2 linked regions of the Alligator mississippiensis genome follow. The main gene of each other region encodes a partner of the protein of the gene in region 2 in a complex. Links are inferred from orthologs where the notes say so. Each region holds a gene or a part of one and is shown on either strand. Other genes may lie near its edges.

Region 1 (3,750 bases), on a different chromosome or scaffold from region 2:
GTCTGAAAACTTTACCAGAATAGCTCTGTATTTGTATAACCTTATGTAGGCACAAGTGACCCTCTGGGTTTTCTTGGAGCATTGTATTTTATAAAAATAAATTCAATATTTGTTTGTTAAAATATGCCATCATCTTGCAACAATACAACAAAAAATAAGTATTTAACTAAAGTCTCCTTGGGCACATTTACACATGCAAATAATGTGGGAGCAGTTTAGTATAGTACTCTACACAGTAAGCTGTCCTGGGCATGCATCTACATGTGTAGACACATAGTGTGCCTTAAGATGGGGGAGCAAGCAGCTCCCTAGGCTGGCTGCTCCCCCGTGTTGAGGCACATTGCACATAGCTGTTCCGCAGCTGGCTGAGGCGCAGTGTGCCTCCAGATGGGGAATCTAGGGAGCTGCCCGCTCCCCCGTCTCTGTGTTTGTCCCTGGCACATGGTGCTTTGGCATGCTTTGATCCATTTTGTTTTGTTTTGTTTTGTTTTTTGTGGGGGGCTTGCTACCAAGAAATCCCAGTAACAAATTTTGCTTCAGCACTGCAAATTAACAGTGGGGCAAATGGTTTAACATGCAATATGTGTGTTTTCTGGCACTATAAAGAGGTTTGCAGTGCTACGACCTCATGTGCCTGCACATCTGGATCCAGCTCTAGAGTGTATTTCTTGGTGCTTTTAAAGTATTTGATGTGAATCAATTAAATATTTATTTGTTAAAATGTGCCATCATCTTGCAACAATACAACAAAAAACAATATTTAACTAGAATCTCATTTTAACCTGTTTTTAAAAGCAGTCAGGAACAACCCTCACAACTACTAGGCAGAACACCTGAAATATCAAAAATGCCCTTTAACTTGCCACAGGCTAAGTAGAGAGATGATCACTGAAGTCAATGGAGTTAGATCAGGGATTCATATTTTATGCCATATATGGTGTTCAACATTAAGCAATATGAAAGGAGGCTAATATTTGTACATGCAATTTTTTCCCTACACTAACTCTTTGTGCTACAGAATGCATTCTATCAGTCTGAGTGACAGATCCATTTGGCTAATTTTTAGCATTACTGACTTAAGAAATATTTCACCTTTTCATTTTGGAGTGTATGTCTAATGTCCCTAAATATTATGGGACTTGAGTTAAACAGCCATAAAGAGGCATGCATTTTCTTTAGTGTTTAGGTCACTCTTTTTATTCCTTTCTTTAAAGATCTGTTGTCTTATTCTACAACCCTGACCTGATCAGGCTCACTGAAACCACCAAAAGCACAGTTTGTAGAATAGAGTTCCAGGCTAGTGCAGATTTTAAATATTGACAAGAAGTCACAGATTAGGCAAATATGATGAACAGCTGTTTTTTTGTCATATGTCAGTCAGGATCTCTGTTTCTTTAGAATCTACCCATAACTCATTTATCATTGTGGTGGTGATAAAAATATAAAGTCATAATCAGTTACCAAAAAACTACAACCCCATATGTAACCAGATAGTCATGAAAGTCATGCACAGAATGTGGTAGCAAAGATTCCAGGACAGAGAGATTCATACATTACAGAATGCAAAGATACCATTTAATTTACACATAATCAGTTGTTTAAGGCACAATATAATGTAGCTTTTCTATTTATTAAAAGGGAGAAAAAATATTTTGGGTTTATAGAATAAACTACATGGCCAGCTATATAAGGCAAAATTGCATCTCATTAAGTTTCTGCCACTGTTTTTATCAAGTACAGTGAGCATAATTGGCACTATGTTTTCTCAGAGTGGATATCAATAACAGGGCGACAAACTTTTTGTGAGGAATTTTGGTGCACAAGAATGAATCCACCTAGTCCTGTGTAAAGCCAGGAACATAAGATTACTTTTAAATTTCATCTCTTTATTACACAACACAGAACTTGGAGAGGACTTGTTGTAAATATTTTAGTGGGATACTTACAGGAACATTTTCTCCTAAGTATTTTCCTGTTAATTATTTGTAGAAAAAAACTAAACATGAATGAGTACTGTGTCTTCTTATACCTTTGGGAGATTAGCAAAATCACACACAAAAAAATCTATATAATACCTCAAAATCAATCCTAGACAAAAGTTATGTTTAAAAACATACTTACTGCTGCCTTATAGATATCATCCATGGTTAATTATTGGTGGTCACAAGCTGAACAGAGGACAAGTGGTACACAAACAAATGTTAAGTCTCTGTCAGATCTCACTTCCTTTTGTCACTGCTAATATAGCAGGCTGAAAGCCCTAAATGGGCTGCAGCTTACTGCATCACCAAACCACTATATATATCTATGTATCTCAGTGATACCCACTCCAAATGGGAATTTGTCACCCCTATGGGCAGGGAAGCTATACAAAGCCAGTAGCTCTGCATTCCAAGGCCCCAATCCAGCTTTTACTCAAATCAATAGTTTTACTTTTTAGCTTCAGTAGGATCAGGATTGGGCCTCTTTAAACTCATTGCTATCCTTAGATCCTCAGCCAGATTGGTTAAATATATATCACTGTGTCAAGGGTGCCTATAAGGGGAAACCTATACTACTTCTATAAAAAATCAGGCCAAAAATGCAAGCTTTACCTGTGCCTATTTATCCTTTTATTGCTTAGCCTTATTACTACTGAAAATATCTGAATAACAATTAGGTAGTTCATTACATGGGTACCAGCAAATATTCAGGTCAAGTTAAGAATCTGATCCAGTTTCTCTTGAACTCAGTAGCAAAGTATCTCTACAAGTCAGTGGGAATGGGAGCAAGTCTGAAAATATTGGGGCAGCTGGAAATGTTTGGGCAGCTGGCCCCTTTTGTTGTGACAGCAGAGACCAAGCCCTGAATCCAGAACTCCTAATCTCTGGAAAAGTTTAAATCAAAACTCAAATATTATAGGGTACATCCTTTTCTTCTGTATTTGTCTATAGGAGCAAAAAAAACCCAACCCAATCAAAAGAGCTTTCAATGAGCAATGTGTGTGCCCTTCTTATCATCAAAAAGCAAAACATCAGAAAAGTCTGTCCTATGAGTTTCTATCAAATTGTACAGCTATGAAAAACATGATGCAGTGGACCACGGGTGTTTATTTTTCTGATCCACTGAGTGACTTTGAGCATATTGCTTAACCTCTCAGTAGATCAGTTTCCTTGTCTGCAAACCTTGGTAAAACATTTTGGACATGTCCCCACAAGTGGAAATGTGTGTTTCTGGAGGGACAGATAACAGCAGCACAATTTGTGCCACTGCTACTTGTCCCCAGGGAACACAACTGCATGAATGCTCTGGTACACAGCAAGTTGCCCCAAGTGGGGTAAGGAGGGCTTAGGGCCAGCACCTGGGATGGTCCCAGCAGCTTTACTTGGGGTCCTGGGGACCTCCTGGGGCTGCAGCAGTAGCAATCTGTGCACACAGAGCCCGGCCTACAGCTGGAGTGTGGCTCTGGCCAGCCAGGCTCTGGTTTCAAGTGGTGCATGCAGCTGCTACCAGGAGATCCCCATGTCAAAAAACCCGTGCTGCAAATTAGCAGTGCAGCAAATGCATGCATGTGCAGTACGTGCATTTTAAGGCACCACAGATGGGTTTGTGGCACTGCAAACCGCATGTGCGCACGTGTGGAGAGGCACCTTTTGAGAGCTGTCTTCTTCTCCTTCCCAGAATACCACTAGTTCAGTGGTTTGGTCTCACTCCTGAAAAAGTTTGAATCCCCTTGAGAGGGAATTCAAACCATGTTTCCTCATCTGAGGG
Region 2 (3,750 bases):
CCAGCCTCACTCTTTAACCATTTGGTGCCCACTTTGTTGGGGGCCAGGACTCCTCTCTGCCCAGCATTATTAACCCTTCCATTCCCTCCCCTGCCCTGTGTCCTTCCAGGCCAGCAGCCAATAAAATTCCACTGCTATATGTTTGAGGGGAGGGTCCTACATACCCCCTGCCCCCCCCCCCCGAATTGTGCATGAATCCCCCTCCCTCCCCTCACCTGCCCCCTCTGCTCTGTGTCCGGCTTTGTCATTTATGGCTTGTTTCATACTGAAATAAAGTTCTTTCCTGCTGGGCCCACTTTGCTCCCAGCAAGTTTGACTCAAAGTGACGTGATACCAGAAGCTTAGCTCTGGGGGCACCATGCTGCAGGGCATGGGGATTTCTGTAGGCAGCACTGTGCTGCAGGTGTGGGTAGTTTGATTCGGTGGGAGGGGGTGTTAGCAGCTGGTGCAAGTGCCTCTGTGGTGCCAGGGAGCACTGTGCTGTGGGAAATAAAGGGATTCAGTACAGGGGGTGCCAGGCCACAGAGAAGAGGTGCAGGGTCTCAGCAGTCAGTACTGACCCCCTGTCCTAGCCCTTAGGGGTGCTACAGGGCCTGAAGGCACTGACCCAAAGCCTCAGGGTTCAAGGGTAGCAGCATGAAGGGCCTCCATCCCAGCTGTGAGTGCTGACCCAAGTGCCCCAGAGCTAGGGGGCACCATGGGGTGGGAGTGCTCAACTGGGGGAGGCTTCCTGAGCCATTAGCACTGACCTTGCTGATTTGGCAGCACCTTTGGAACTGCACCCCACCCCTCCCAGCACTGCCCAGCCCTGGTGTCTATGGGCACCCTGAGGCTGCCATTGGGACACGGACCACAGTGGAGCACAGAGGCCACTGGGGCTGCTTCAGGGGTAGGAGCCCACATGCTCCCGCCACCCCTTCCAGCCAGACCCTGGGATGTCTTCTCCACCCCCACTTTCGTGGGAGCACCTGCCTAGGCCTTCCCTCCCCCACAGCCCTCCAACACCAGGGCCCCCCTTATCAGCAGCCACTCCCCTCCCTTCCCCCTGCCAGCTGGGCAGTCCACCAGTCCTATTTAAACCGAGCAGCCTCCATGCTTGCCTAGAGCCTGCAGAGACGCCCCCCACCTTGCTTCTTCCAGCCCCACTGTGCTGGGAACTCTCAAGGTAAGAGAGGAGGGCAAGGAGTGATGGGGAACCTAGGGGGATGGCTGGGTCCTGGCCAGGCAGGGGGAATCCTTCTCCCCATATTCACAGCTTTTAGGCCCACAGATCTTTCCTCTCTGGCCTTTACCATCCCCAGAGACTTTAACCCCTTAATAAATATTCTGTCACCTTCAGTACCCCAAAAACTAGCCCCCAACAAACCACAGCTGGTCCCAAAGGGACCCAGACTGGCACTCCACCCCAAGAGACGGGGAAACATGACTTTAAAGAGACACTCTTTGTGCCCCACTCCAGGGATAGCCACAACCCAGTGCCAGGTGAGGTGTGCCTGTATAACCAGCCCCCAAGATACCCCACCCAGAAGCAGCTACCTCTCAGCCTGTGTGAGAGGTCCCTGTATAACCAGTGTCTTCCCCACCTCCATTCACATACCTCACTCAGGAGGCATCTGCATCAGCACTGGGACAATGGGTTCCTACAATGGATGAACCTGAATCCATCCCCCAGCCCCTTCAACTTAAACCCTATACACTTCCCCCCCCAAACCCCACCCCATCTGGATATGACTAGAGCAGCTCTGACCGGCTGGGCCACAGCCTCATGGGGCTAGAGAAGGGGGAGACTACAACCACCTCACCATCTAGTGGATCCTCTGAATACTCCCCTCCCCCCCAACCCTGCAACTGCCTGCCCAGAGCTTTATGCAAAGAAACCCCCCCCCCCCCCCCCCATCCCCTTGTGACTCTGACTCCATCTGGCAGCTGTGATAAGAGCTGTTATATTTAGCACCTTCCACTTACTGCCTTATCAGCCCTGAGCAACCACCCCAAATAGGGGCAAAGCCACAGGCCTGGGGAGATAAGGAAGTTCGTGAGAAGCCCATTCCCACCCAGGACCAGATTGGAGCTAGCACCCACTGGAAGGGAAAGGCCCCCTGCTCCTGCCTGTGTCCCTGCCCCTTACCCACCCCCTAAGCCAGCCCTGGGGCCAGATTGGGGTCAGCACTCCTTGTAGGGCACAATGAGATAATTTTTCCCATTTTTCCCCCCAGCTCTTGGTATTGACACAACCTACTCAACATGGCAGAAGAGTAAGTGATTGGTTTCATGCCCAGCTTTGGGAGGGGAGTGGGGTCTCAGGAGTGGGGGTCTTGTGGAGCAACGGGGTGGCAGCCAAGATGCTTGGGTTCTACCCCAGTGGGGTTAGAGCAGGGGGCAGCCTTGGGAGGAGACTGGGGTCTAGTGGGTTAAAGCAGGGTGGAGACAGCTGGGACACCTGGGTTCTATTCTTGACTCACATGTGAGTCTTCTTGGGGAGAGCATCTTTGCTTTTCTCTGTGCATCAGCTGCTCCAATGGCTTGAAGTTGCAGCAAAGTAGGTTTAGACTGGATATCAGGAAAAACTTCTTCACTGGTAAAACAGGGAGGCAATGGAACAGACTGCCTAGGGAAGCTGTGCACTCTCCATCACTGGAGATGTTCAAGAACAGCTTGGACAGGCACGGGTCAGGGATGATCTAGGCACAGCTCTGCCTATATTCTACTGTGGTACTTCCCGGGTTTCTCATTTTTGCTGGTTGCTGCATGGGGCTGGGAGGAAATCCTGCCCCCCTCCCTTGCTGCTACATGTATTAGGGTTTTGGGGGTGTTTTTAAGCTTTCCTCAGAGGCATTGGGTGTTGGCTGCAACCAAGGCTAGGGATTGGGACTGGGCTGTGCCAGTGGTTGTGCTTCTACCTGGAGGTTCCTGGCTGGAGGGTCTTGCTCCTCTGCTTAGGGTCAGACTGATTGTTGTATTGGGGTCAGGAAGGAATTTTACCCTGTGGCCAGACTGGCCTGGACTTTGGGGGAGTTTTGCCTGCCTCTGTTGCAGGGGGCACAGCTTCTACATGGGAGCTCTTGAGTGTATATGAACAACCTTTTCCAGCAGCGGTCCCCCTGCTTTACCTGTAGCAGGTTGGGGTGTGATGCCTTGTGTTGTGTCAGGGTTGACAGTAGCTTTGCTAAGGGGTTATTATAGATTTGTAGGGGATGGTTTGGATAGGACTGATCCTGCCCCGGGCAGGGGCTTGGACTAGATGACCTCTGGAGGTCCTTTCCAGCCCTGACTTCTCTATGATTCTGATTCCTTCAGTACCCAGGCAGGGAGGGGGCTTCAAGCCATCCATCAGGCCTGCAAAGGGCTAGGGGACCCCCCCAGTCTCAGACAGTGCCTGTGTCATTCAGGGGCTGGGTTTGTCACTGAACTAATTTTTTTCCCTCTCTCTCCCCCCTAACCTACCCCACAGGGAGGAAGTAACCGTAAGTATCAGCATGGGGGCGCATTCCCCTATAATCAGCCTTTATTATTGGGACAAAGTCAGCCACTCCATTGGATGGACTGGAAGGCAGAAATGCCCCCTAGAGGAGAGCAGTCCCTGCCCCACCCCTGACCCCAAGGCAGCCAGTGCCCTTCCCTGAGGCTAGATCAGGGCCAGTGCCCCCTAGAGGGTAAAGGCCCCTGCCCCATCCAGCCAGTCCCCTACTACAACCATCTAATTTTGCCAACTCTGTTTGAATCTATTCTGGGAGGTTTCCAGAACACCAA

Evidence for each region. Proteins that work in one complex are often made in the same cells at the same time.
Region 1: the proteins of TNNI3 (region 2) and TNNC1 are in contact, whole or in part, in a crystal structure (PDB 4Y99), measured with the Homo sapiens proteins. The link is inferred for Alligator mississippiensis from reciprocal best matches to the Homo sapiens genes TNNI3 and TNNC1. Residues at the interface, in NP_000354.4 of Homo sapiens: Glu32, Pro33, His34, Ala35, Lys36, Lys37, Lys38, Ser39, Lys40, Ile41, Ser42, Ala43, Ser44, Arg45, Lys46, Leu47, Gln48, Leu49, Lys50, Thr51, Leu52, Leu53, Leu54, Ile56, Ala57, Lys58, Glu60, Leu61, Glu64, Arg136; in NP_003271.1 of Homo sapiens: Asp3, Ile4, Lys6, Ala7, Glu10, Gln11, Thr13, Glu15, Gln16, Glu19, Phe20, Ala22, Ala23, Ile26, Phe27, Val44, Met45, Leu48, Gln50, Glu59, Met60, Glu63, Glu66, Asp67, Gly68, Asp73, Asp75, Glu76, Phe77, Met81.

Annotation. Positions count from the first base shown.
Region 1 is NC_081835.1:39,250,453-39,254,202, reverse strand, and holds the start of TNNC1 (troponin C, slow skeletal and cardiac muscles), read right to left. Parts: upstream 2,229-3,750; 5' UTR 2,146-2,228; coding exon 2,122-2,145; intron 1-2,121. UniProt on the Homo sapiens protein: Troponin is the central regulatory protein of striated muscle contraction. Tn consists of three components: Tn-I which is the inhibitor of actomyosin ATPase, Tn-T which contains the binding site for tropomyosin and Tn-C.
Region 2 is NC_081828.1:39,426,891-39,430,640, forward strand, and holds the start of TNNI3 (troponin I, cardiac muscle), read left to right. Parts: upstream 1-1,051; 5' UTR 1,052-1,165; intron 1,166-2,216; 5' UTR 2,217-2,244; coding exon 2,245-2,255; intron 2,256-3,451; coding exon 3,452-3,464; intron 3,465-3,750. UniProt on the Homo sapiens protein: Troponin I is the inhibitory subunit of troponin, the thin filament regulatory complex which confers calcium-sensitivity to striated muscle actomyosin ATPase activity.